2 linked regions of the Neodiprion lecontei genome follow. The protein of the gene in region 1 purifies or fractionates together with the protein of each later gene. This does not show direct contact. Links are inferred from orthologs where the notes say so. Each region holds a gene or a part of one and is shown in the gene's direction. Other genes may lie near its edges.

Region 1 (5,160 bases):
GTCAAAATTCTTTCATGTAGTGAACTTACTACTCTGTTTAATTTTCATTTTTCTATTTACGTAAGTTGCAATGTTGCACTTTTATAAGGGTTTGTCGATCCACCGTGACTGAGATAATTTCGTTGTTTATGATATTACCCAATGCCAACGGTAGCACTTTACTTTTCCAAAGGTAAATTATCAAAAAGACAAAAAGTTTGTCAATTTGTACTCAACGCTTTGGATACCATTCACGTCCGATCAACCACAATTTTAAAACAGAATGCAGCGTAAATTTAGTCAAATTGAAAATAAAGAAAAAAATGTAACTTCAATATTTCGTAATGGCGAGATTTTTTTAAAATTTAATTTGGTCCATGGGAGGGAAAAAAAAACTTACTGTAGCCATCATCGGCACCAGAAGCTTGCGGTTCATTATTGAATGAACATGTGAACCCTAGAGTTTGATTTCCTCTTTCAATATCAACTTCGAAGCTTGGCTTGCTTTTCATTTCTCCAAATTCAGCCTTGTCTTCTGGGGTGTCAATGTCGGGTTCAGAATCAGAATCGACAGTATGATTGACATTGAAATTTATCGTTATGCTAAAAAATTACGAATTCAGTCAAGTTTTTGTCACAAAATTGTAATAACTATAGCAAGAAGATCGCTAAACAATTTTTGGCTTACGTTTCATCTCCATGTTTTTTGGTGAGCGTAACCTCCGCTCCATCTAACGATATCTTAAAGCCGTCTAACTCTGTGGGAATGGTCTTCATTTTTTGTGCCTTCTTTTCCGCAACAATTTCTTCAGCTAAAAAGAGTCCCAATTCTTTCTCCGCTATAGCATCAACCATGTAAATGACAAAAAATTGCAATTGAATAAATAGAGAGAAAATTATCACTAAAAAAAAAAACCAAATAATAGTAATAATAATAATAATAGTAAATTATATTTCGGGCGGAGAAGTTACGAGGTGACATTGAAAAATGACCCTAACCTTTGGTGTGTGCCTTTCGGGAGCAGCCGCAGCTGCAAAAATCGCTGGGATTTTGAATTTTGTAACTCGTTAGTGGTGCAAGTTCGTTTTGCCGGCTGCACATGTTCCACATCGTTCTTGCGAAATCCCTTCGTGCCGTGCCGCCGACAACAACGGTAGATTGTGTTAATCCCTTGAGAGTTGAGGCCCTCAGAGCGGTTCTGACTAATCCGTTCATCTTTCTGTCTTCTGGCTTATACCGCCGTTGATAATTGTTGTAATTAATTTACACTGTTTTCTAAAATTCGGCTGATGCACGACTTGGCACGGCTCGCGATCAAGCTACTCCTTGCGCGGAAAAGGTTGCGTCAAGGCTACGTTCACTCTTGTATTCTCGTCTTCCTCTACCATACTTGCCTCTACCCTGTTCGCCGACCGGATGTTCACTAAGGTGAGCTCAAAACCACAAACTAGTCAGGTATACTTAGACGCGGATATGGGGTGAAAATTATTATCGTATAATGTGACTTTCAGTGGACTTTCCACGCCGAAGTGCAGGCATTTTTCTCGACGGTTGATGCGTGTAACCTTAGTGACCGGAAGTCGACTCAGTGTTACAAAGAGTTTAGTAAACGCAGCCGCCATTTTGTAGCGGCGCTACTGATTTCGAGTATTCGAGTAATTTCGTCTTCGTTCGGCATGTCGGCTTGTAAACGTAGGAGATACGTTTCGCAAAGATACGTATAGACGGACGAAAATCAGGTGCCAAATAACACCAGTTGATTAATTGGAAGAGCAAATTGGGCGCGATGTTGCTGAACAACTAGCGATACCCTATTTGCAACAGAAACCAAGGTAAATACAACACTCACGACATTCTCGTGATCAAAATGGCTGACGATTTTTGTCCTCACCGCATTCTCGCCAATGAAAATCAACGGTCGGCGTCGATTTTGACTGATCACTAAGCGGAAATTTTTGCTTATATAACCTCAAAAATATCATAATTATTTCACTAATCGAATAAAAGTAATAAAAGCTTTTAAGATCCCAATTTGACAATGGAAGTCAACCATAACCAAAGGATGTGTATTTACAGGCCTCAACGCCGCATTTTTATTACTCAATAACTCTGTAAATGATTGACAGATTACGTGACATTTTCTTGCCACATTGTATTTCCGTATTGATTTACTTTCACGTATTTAATTCGGATTGTATGATATCTAGGTCAATTGGCACGATTTCTTATATGCTCATTTACGTCTAGTTATACTACTTTTTCAACTCATAATTTCTATAATAATTAGCTGATTGATCAAAGATTTAAAAAATTTCTTTTCAGCTAAATAAGTCAGCGTCAAAATGTCTATACCGCCTTACTTGCTGGGCCCAAACCCATGGGCCACCATGATGGCCCAGCAGCAGGCTCACGCTCAGCTTGCAGCTGCGCAAGCTCACGCGCAAGCAGCGGCTCATGCTCAGGCAGCCCATCATGCTCACATGCAAGCAATGGCTGGGCCGCCGCTACCGCAGCTGCCTAAGCAGCCCGAAGTTATTTCCGAAGATAAATTGCAGGAAAAAGGTAAGAATGGATTATTATTGTTAATGTTGGAAAGACAGAAAAGGTCCTCTACGCATGTGTATTATTTTCTAGTGATTGAAGAAAACATCTAAAAAATTGATATATTTCCAAATAACATTCATTGATGAAAACTGTTCACATATGATTAGATAACTTGATTTCGTTATCCCACTTTCTGCAAATTTTAGCTCAAAAGTGGCAGCAATTACAGTCCAAACGTTTTGCGGAAAAACGTAAATTTGGGTTCGTCGATGCTCAGAAGGAGGATATGCCGCCTGAGCACATAAGGAAGATTATTAGAGATCATGGAGATATGAGCAGCCGAAAATACAGACATGACAAACGTGTTTATTTGGGGTAATTATCGTGTATCAGTGTTCAATGAAGCTCTATTTTTTGTTTGTAATTTTGTCTTCACCTTTTGTTATACGGTCATTATATTAATTACAGTGCTCTGAAATACATGCCTCATGCTGTGATGAAATTGTTGGAAAACATGCCAATGCCATGGGAACAAATTCGGGACGTCAAAGTGCTGTATCATATCACCGGAGCCATCACATTTGTCAATGAAATTCCATGGGTCATTGAACCAGTCTATATCGCTCAGTGGGGGTGAGTTTTTAAAGAATTTCCAGCTCTTTGTTAAGAGAGAAAAAAAGGTCAAATAATTACTTCGGCCCAATGTTTGATCGTGATTAAAATCTAGTGAATTTAATTTTAAGAACAATGTGGATCATGATGAGGCGTGAGAAACGAGACAGAAGACATTTCAAAAGAATGAGATTTCCTCCGTTCGATGACGAAGAACCGCCTCTAGATTATGCAGACAATGTGTTGGATGTCGAGCCTTTGGAAGCCATACAAATCGAGCTTGACTCGGAGGAAGACGAATCGGTTGCTACATGGTTTTACGAGCACAAACCTTTGGTTGGGACGAAGTAAGTAAATGCTTGATTATGATGCTGAGCTCAGCTGAAATTTTTCTTGAAAGTGAACTGAATTATTTCATTAGCAATATCAGGACCTTTCGCAGCTTTGGCGTCAATATATGACCTGCTGCCCAACTCCTGACAATATACGTCATTTATACACCAATTTCATGATGAATCGCGTAGGGGTCCTGAAATCAGTCATTCATGTGGTCTGACGGTTGCAGCGTTGTTGTTTGCTTGTCTGAGATAAAACAAATGCAACGTTGTGATTGGATCAAACGCTAATCTGAAATAGACTTACGTATATACTCAAAATTTAGCAGCCTGAAGAAACATGACCAAAATTATTTCATGCAACGAAATTTTTCTAATAATTTCCAGGCATGTTAATGGATCAACTTATCGTAAGTGGAACTTGTCCCTTCCACAAATGGCAACATTATATCGGTTGGCCAATCAGCTGCTGACTGATTTGGTTGATCAAAATTTCTTCTACCTCTTTGATCCAAAGTCGTTCTTTACTGCAAAAGCTTTGAACATGGCCATTCCTGGCGGTCCTAAGTTTGAGCCCCTTGTGAAGGATTCAAATGCTGCTGATGAGGATTGGAACGAGTTCAACGACATAAATAAAATAATCATCCGACAACCAATTCGTACGGAATATCGTATCGCTTTTCCTTATCTGTACAACAACATGCCACACTTCGTTCATCTTTCGTGGTAGGTAGTTTTACTTGCAGATTATTTTTTAAATTTCTGAAGATTCTGTTATTATATTGATATCCACACCAGTTTTAAGACAATATTAAAATTATATGTGGTCTTACTAGCCGTGTGGTAAAATATTTAGTGATCGTTATTCGTCACCCTCGTAGAGGAGAGAGGGCGACTGCTGAAATCACAGACAAATTTTTAACTTTAACAGTACTATCCTTGTATTTGTTTAATTACATCCTGGTCGCAGGTACCACGCTCCTAACGTTGTCTACATCAAGACCGAGGATCCAGATTTACCTGCCTTTTATTTTGACCCATTGATCAACCCGATTTCACACCGAAATTCATTGAAGGTACATCCATTGCACTTTAATAAATGCTGTGTAGAGATTATCATATTTGATTTCGAGCTGTTCCACGTCGACATCCCTGTTCAATGAGTTGTTCAACTAAAATAGCTCGTAGATGAAGGGTCATTTTTGCCCTGCGTTAGCGCAGCATGACTAACGGAGTTTCCAAAATGACGACACTGTATTTTATTCATCGAGTTTCATTCAAAATCTCCACAATTCGCAATTTAATTTTAGAAAATCCTCTCTTTCCGTAGACAATGGAGCCTCTTCTTGAAGAAGATGAAGATTTTGTACTGCCTGAAGAGGTTCAGCCATTTTTGCAGGAGACTCCGCTTTATACAGACAACACGGCTAATGGAATTGCTTTGCTTTGGGCACCACGTCCGTTTAACACGCGATCTGGCAGAACTAGACGAGCGATTGATATTCCCCTGGTAAAATCTTGGTACCGCGAACATTGTCCACCAGGACAGCCAGTCAAAGTTCGTGTCAGCTACCAGAAATTGCTAAAGTACTTTGTCCTGAATGCATTGAAACACAGGCCTCCAAAGCCACAGAAAAAACGATACCTCTTCAGGTCTTTCAAATCGACCAAGTTCTTCCAGACTACAAC
Region 2 (5,856 bases), on another chromosome or scaffold:
CCGAATTGAGGTCTTCGTTTAAAAATGGCCCTAAATCACATAATCAGATCTCTCGATAAACGAAATACATTTATTAAATATATTTTCAATTATTTTAGAATGATGGCCCATAGTCAACTGCAAACTTACCCGTATAATTTGGGATTAGTAATTTGGCTGCAGCATTAACGTTGAGCAGCTTCACCTTCCTTGGCACCGTCAGACATTGTAAGTCTGTGAAATTTAACCAGAATCGTGATAAGGATCAATGGTATTCACGACCCAGTTTCACTTCAATTCAGAAATATATTTTGAGATACCTGTCAATTTTTGGATAAAAACTGAGTTCAAGGTGCAAGCAACTTGGACAGGATCTGCTATTCCTAGAATTACAGTTGCCCAGACAACATCAAGCCATATTTCCGAAGCGGATACATCAGTCTCCTTCAATGGCTTTATGAATGCCTAGACCATTCAGTAATAAAAATTGAAAAAGCTTCGCAGACAAGAAAAGAGAGGAAAACCAATTCTAAGTAAGTTTGGTACCTTATGCAATTCTGTCATGTTGAAAGGTATGTGTTGAACAGTGGCTAAAGTTAACAACAGGGATGTGATGTACTGTGGCTTCAGTGATCGTGGCTCTGCCAAGATCCATTCGCATAACGCATCCAACAGTTCGGTATTTTTATATCGGAGAAAGCCCAAGGATGTTACGACTGAGCCTATTACAGCGGTACCATTATTCTCAGGAATACGTATGATTAATTCTGAGCTAACTTTCTCCATCAGTACCTACACATTTTTCCCAATATTTGTACATGCCAGAAAAGTGTTGATCTTTGATATTTTGTCTTAAGTAATGATAAGCAGAAAAAAATATTTCGTTTTCATACCTCATCTGGAAAGTTCAGCACAGCCAATGAAAATAGAATGTCAGCACATTCTTTTACATTCATTTTCTCAGTGCTGCGAGAGATATGGTACGACAAAGATCTCAATATGGGTAGGGATCTTCTCCGCTTGTGAGCCAAGGTGGTAAGTACCTAAGAACAGAATGTATTAGGAAAAGAAAACAACTTTGCATGTTTACCGAATTAGGGCTGACCTGGGTCATCTGAGCGAGAGATAGGGTAGAAATGAGTTTTGCTGCCTCATCATCTCCCGCAAGGCTGAGCACAGTTTTTAAATCACCATGTTCGTGGGGTTTGGATGTTGTCGATTGTTCAGCCTGTCCTGCAAGCTGTTTGCAAAGCGACAAGAACCTCGGATCTTTCTCAAAGTCTGCCGGAGTGATTGTCTTTGCATTAATCCACTCGGAGAGAATAGACATAATGTTGAGACCATCTCTTTGAGATATTTTCTCATTTCCTGCTATGCTTAATAACTTGTCGATGGTATTAGCCTCAGAAATATCTTTTCTAATGGAGGATTTTGAAGACCTATCGGCCACTGTTTTCGTGTCATTCAGTATTGCGGCAAATGCCGCTTCGACTAGTTTGTTTTCGGACTTTAGTTTCGGTTTACTCTGCTTTGTACTGGTTTGCTGTTGGACTGGTTTCTTGGGCTGCTGAATTTCAAGAGACAGTAAATGACAAGTGATCAAGAAGGATTAGGAACACTTGTGCAGTAGGCGATAATAGAAATAAATGTAATAAAATTAGGAAAAGACAGCTGAAGGCAAGTTAAGCAGGGAATAAAAACTAAGCTACCAGTTTGTGTATTACTTTGTCAATGGATAGCAAACCTTGTCAACAATAGAAGCAATGTCAGGAACAGGGGCTGCGGAACTGCTGAGTGTTAACAACTGCTGCGAATTAATCCTCCATATCGTACGAGGGGCGAACCTAGTTACCACGTTACACATGGTTCCGCCAAATTGTAGCATTGCCATTAATCTGGAAAATGAATAATTCTTTATGTAATATGCCATAGCATATAAGCAGAAGGACTAGCCCTACTCTGTTCCCAATAACACGTGACATAACACTAAGAGTAACAGGTGATGTTATAAATGACACTCACTCTATATTTACAGGTTAAATGTGTGACGATTATTTCACAGATCATACGTATTTATAAATTATATTATTATCAATTTATGATTTCATATTGAGGTTATGCGGCTGCTGCACATTCGCTCTGCAGTCTGTATTTAAAAGGAACCGTAGATACGAAACTCTGACAGCATATCAAAGAATACATTGACGGGTTGGCGCAATGCGAACCTAGTGGAGTAACGATCAACCAACAGTCAAATAGAGATCATGTCAGCTAGCTCGCTGTTCAATTATTCGCACACCCGGACCCTTTTGGTGTTTCTTAGTAGTCTATGGTAGTTCCATTGAGTTCCTTGAAGTCTGGATATCGCCCTGATTTCGGATTCTTGTGTGCCTTTACGTTCCTCTCGCTGCGGAGTTTAGTTGAATTTTTGCCCTTCTAAATGACGAGTGAATAATTGTTACAACGAGTTGCGAATAGAGCTACGGAAAGAATGCCGGCTCAAGAAATAGTAACTCCCCAACCAGCGGAAGTCGAGGATGCCGCGCCGTCCTCGCAGCCGATCGTCGGCATCATATACCCTCCCCCGGAGGTTAGGAGTATCCTTTATCGAAACTGAATTTTCGAGCAACGTTTTTTCATTTTTTCACTCATCACCCGCTCTTCTAAATTTGCTTAAAATGTGTAAGAACTTTGTAACTGATCGTAACGCGCACCTTTCAGGTGGAGGATAGTAATCAATCGAACCGCTTTTGAAAGAGCCAGTGGGTAAACGAGAGCGAATCGTAAGTCGATGTTGTAAAAATAACAAATCATCACGGAAATATCTTTCAGGTATCAATTTCCTTACACAGCTGATCAGATATCGTTGATAAGACGGCTAGTTTTGTTGCTAGAAATGGCCCAGAGTTTGAGTCGAGGATCCGTCAAAACGAGCTTGGCAACCCAAAGTTCAATTTCCTCAACTTTGGCGATCCGTATCATGCTTATTATCAGCACAAAGTTAAGGAATTCAAGGAGGGAAAGGCACAGGAGCCTGTCATCGGTCTGGGCGTTGGTAAAGGTGTGAATCTCACAGCCCACCAGAAACAACAAGAAATTTTGAAGCAAGTCGAACAGCCGTTCGTACCCAAGGATCCGCCAGTTGATTTTGAATTCATTGCTGATCCCCCGTCTATTTCCGCTCTAGATTTGTAGGCTTACTTTTATTTTACTCTTACTGAATTTATTTTGTATTGCATCCGGTCCATTTTAAACTGTCAATTATTTTACAGAGACATTGTCAAACTGACAGCTCAGTTTGTAGCTCGTAATGGGCGCCAATTTTTGACCAATCTAATGAATCGTGAGCAGAGGAATTTTCAATTTGACTTTTTGCGTCCTCAGCACTCTCTCTTTCAATATTTCACTAAGCTGCTTGAACAGTATACAAAGGTAAGCCCGGTTCGAATACAGAAATGCATATAGAATAGAAATTGGTATTTCATTTATTTGTGCAACAGGTGCTGATTCCTCCGAAAGATTTACTTCCTCGGCTGCGAGATGAAGCCGCGAACATGGACAAGATATTAGAACAAGTGAAATATCGCGCAGAGTGGCTCAAGTATCAGGAGGCACAGAGGCGCAAAGAGGAAGAGGAATTAGAGCGTGAAAGAGTTGCTTATGCTCAAATTGATTGGCATGATTTTGTTGTCGTTGAAACGGTTGACTACCAACAGTTTGAAGTTGGGAATTTCCCCGCTCCCACAACTCCGGACGAGGTTGGAGCTCGTGTTTTGATGCAGGTGCGTGGATTTTCAGTCGTAAACTGTTCAAATGCTATTCAACTTCACACGACACGATTGAATAAGTTTTTAATTTAGTATCACCGGATTAGGACATGTTCTGAGTGAGTTTTTCTTTCAGGAACGCATTGAGGATGGAGAGGAGGTGGAAATGCAGATTGAAAGTGACGGGGATGAAGAGCTCCACTCTCGCGAGGGTGAGAAAGACAGAGCAAAAGATAACAACCAGGTGAATGTCAAGAAATACTGTGAATTAAAAAATTCTGTCCATGCATGAGAATTTTATGTGAATTTCGCAATTATTTTTGTGCTTATCATTATATTATTAGGAGATAATCGCTAATATCGCATGTCAGCAGTATCAGACATTGTAACACCAGTTTTTCCAGGTCCAAGATATGGAGGAAGATTCCAGTGATGACGACGACGTTTCGCCTCCTGGAGATTCAAACAGAGGCAAAGACCAGAGACACCGCGATACCATGCAACCACCGCCGCTACCTCCAACCCCGGGCAATGTCGTCGTCAAGAAGGGGTACGATCCGAAACAACATGGTAAGCTGATGAAGTGTCTCGAGTTTAGGTTATTCGTCGACAACATCGTACACCGCCATCTAATCCAACGAATTAATATCTAGCTTCCGTGAAGAATACTCGCCCCACTGCGCCAGATGAGTATTTGATATCTCCTATAACTGGGGAGAGAATCCCAGCAAGCAAAGTGCAAGAACACATGCGAATTGGTCTGCTGGATCCTCGCTGGGTGGAGCAGCGTGATAAGCACCTGGACAAACTGGCCCAAGAGACCGTATTCGCTCCTGGTACGGCGATAGAAGCAAGTTTGAAGCAGCTGGCCGAGCGGCGTACGGATATTTTCGGTGTGGGAGATGAGGAGACAGCTATTGGTAAGAAGATCGGTGAAGAGGACAAGAAGAAAGACGACAAGGTTACGTGGGACGGTCACACGTCGAGCGTTGAGGCCGCTACGCGCGCCGCTCGCGCTAATATTACACTTGAAGAGCAAATACATCAAATCCATAAGGTTAAAGGCCTTCTGCCTGATGAGGAAAAGGAGAAAATCGGGCCTAAACCCGCCACTCGAGCTGCTGAACTCTCCCACATGGCGGCTGCGGCTTCCAAGCCTCAGGCGACCCTGAAAGCTCCTCCAAAGCCACCCGCGCCCAAACCCGTACCGGTTCCTGCTCAACCACCACCCCCTTCGATTGGAATGTCGACGATGGGTATTCCGCAACCCATAATGCCTCAACCACCTATGATGATGATGGCACCCATGCCGCCGATTCGGCCGCCCCCCTTAATGAGTAAGTTTCACTTCGTCTTTCTGCAGTAATAAAATTTTTTCATCACGTAAGGTTTCATTGTGTTTTCTAATATTGCAGCACCAGCAATGTCGCCGTTCATGCCAACGCCACCCCCGATGCAGCCGCCGTTACCAAGTGGGGTAAGATTTACTTTAATTTACTAAAATTTCACGCACAGCAGCCGTAAAATCGTTATTCTTTTTGTGATATTCCCGACTTTGTTTCGTTACGTATCTACTTGTCCGTTCAAAAAATTGTAGATTGGTATAAAGCATCCTGGCGAGCCAATGGAAGAAGAACCGCAAGCAAAGAAATTGCGTACCGAAGATTCCTTGATACCGGAGCAACAGTTCTTGGCTAGAAATAAGGTAAGTGTTATTAATTGTTTTGCTTTCTCGTTTCGCAGGATTATTCAAGCAACAATCCCACGTTCAAGCTATAATTTTTAACAATGTAATCCGCTGTTCAGGGTCCGGTGCAAGTCAATATCGCCGTTCCTATGATGACCGAGAAAGCTGAGTGGAAGTTGAACGGACAAACTCTGAACATCACGCTGCAATTGAGCGATACCATTGCTACAATGAAGGCAAGCATTCACGAACAGACTGGAATGCCGCCTGGGAAACAAAAGCTTCAATACGAGGTGATTATTGCGATTTATCATACATATATCGGAAACCACTTGTCCTTATTCATTTGTGCGCATTTTGAAATCGTGCTTTAACATTCTTTTTCCAGGGAATGTTCTTCAAGGACAACAACACTCTCGGTTA

What was found.
Region 2: the proteins of pre-mRNA-processing-splicing factor 8 (region 1) and splicing factor 3A subunit 1 purify together in Homo sapiens (affinity purification with mass spectrometry; 4 studies listed by BioGRID and IntAct, with this or other methods). This does not show direct contact. The link is inferred for Neodiprion lecontei from reciprocal best matches to the Homo sapiens genes PRPF8 and SF3A1.

Annotation. Positions count from the first base shown.
Region 1 is NC_060264.1:1,831,266-1,836,425, reverse strand, and holds the start of pre-mRNA-processing-splicing factor 8, read left to right. Parts: upstream 1-1,612; 5' UTR 1,613-1,812; intron 1,813-2,302; 5' UTR 2,303-2,322; coding exon 2,323-2,542; intron 2,543-2,730; coding exon 2,731-2,899; intron 2,900-2,992; coding exon 2,993-3,157; intron 3,158-3,267; coding exon 3,268-3,483; intron 3,484-3,858; coding exon 3,859-4,197; intron 4,198-4,441; coding exon 4,442-4,547; intron 4,548-4,801; coding exon 4,802-5,160. Other genes in the region: complement component 1 Q subcomponent-binding protein, mitochondrial, read right to left, coding at 380-582, 668-818, 979-1,195. UniProt on the Homo sapiens protein: Plays a role in pre-mRNA splicing as core component of precatalytic, catalytic and postcatalytic spliceosomal complexes, both of the predominant U2-type spliceosome and the minor U12-type spliceosome.
Region 2 is NC_060260.1:1,607,097-1,612,952, forward strand, and holds the start of splicing factor 3A subunit 1, read left to right. Parts: upstream 1-2,275; 5' UTR 2,276-2,470; coding exon 2,471-2,576; intron 2,577-2,839; coding exon 2,840-3,170; intron 3,171-3,251; coding exon 3,252-3,411; intron 3,412-3,479; coding exon 3,480-3,761; intron 3,762-3,882; coding exon 3,883-3,990; intron 3,991-4,150; coding exon 4,151-4,316; intron 4,317-4,399; coding exon 4,400-5,083; intron 5,084-5,161; coding exon 5,162-5,223; intron 5,224-5,343; coding exon 5,344-5,451; intron 5,452-5,552; coding exon 5,553-5,726; intron 5,727-5,821; coding exon 5,822-5,856. Other genes in the region: FAST kinase domain-containing protein 4, read right to left, coding at 1-30, 130-213, 300-444, 526-771, 873-1,022, 1,085-1,546, 1,724-1,870. UniProt on the Homo sapiens protein: Component of the 17S U2 SnRNP complex of the spliceosome, a large ribonucleoprotein complex that removes introns from transcribed pre-mRNAs.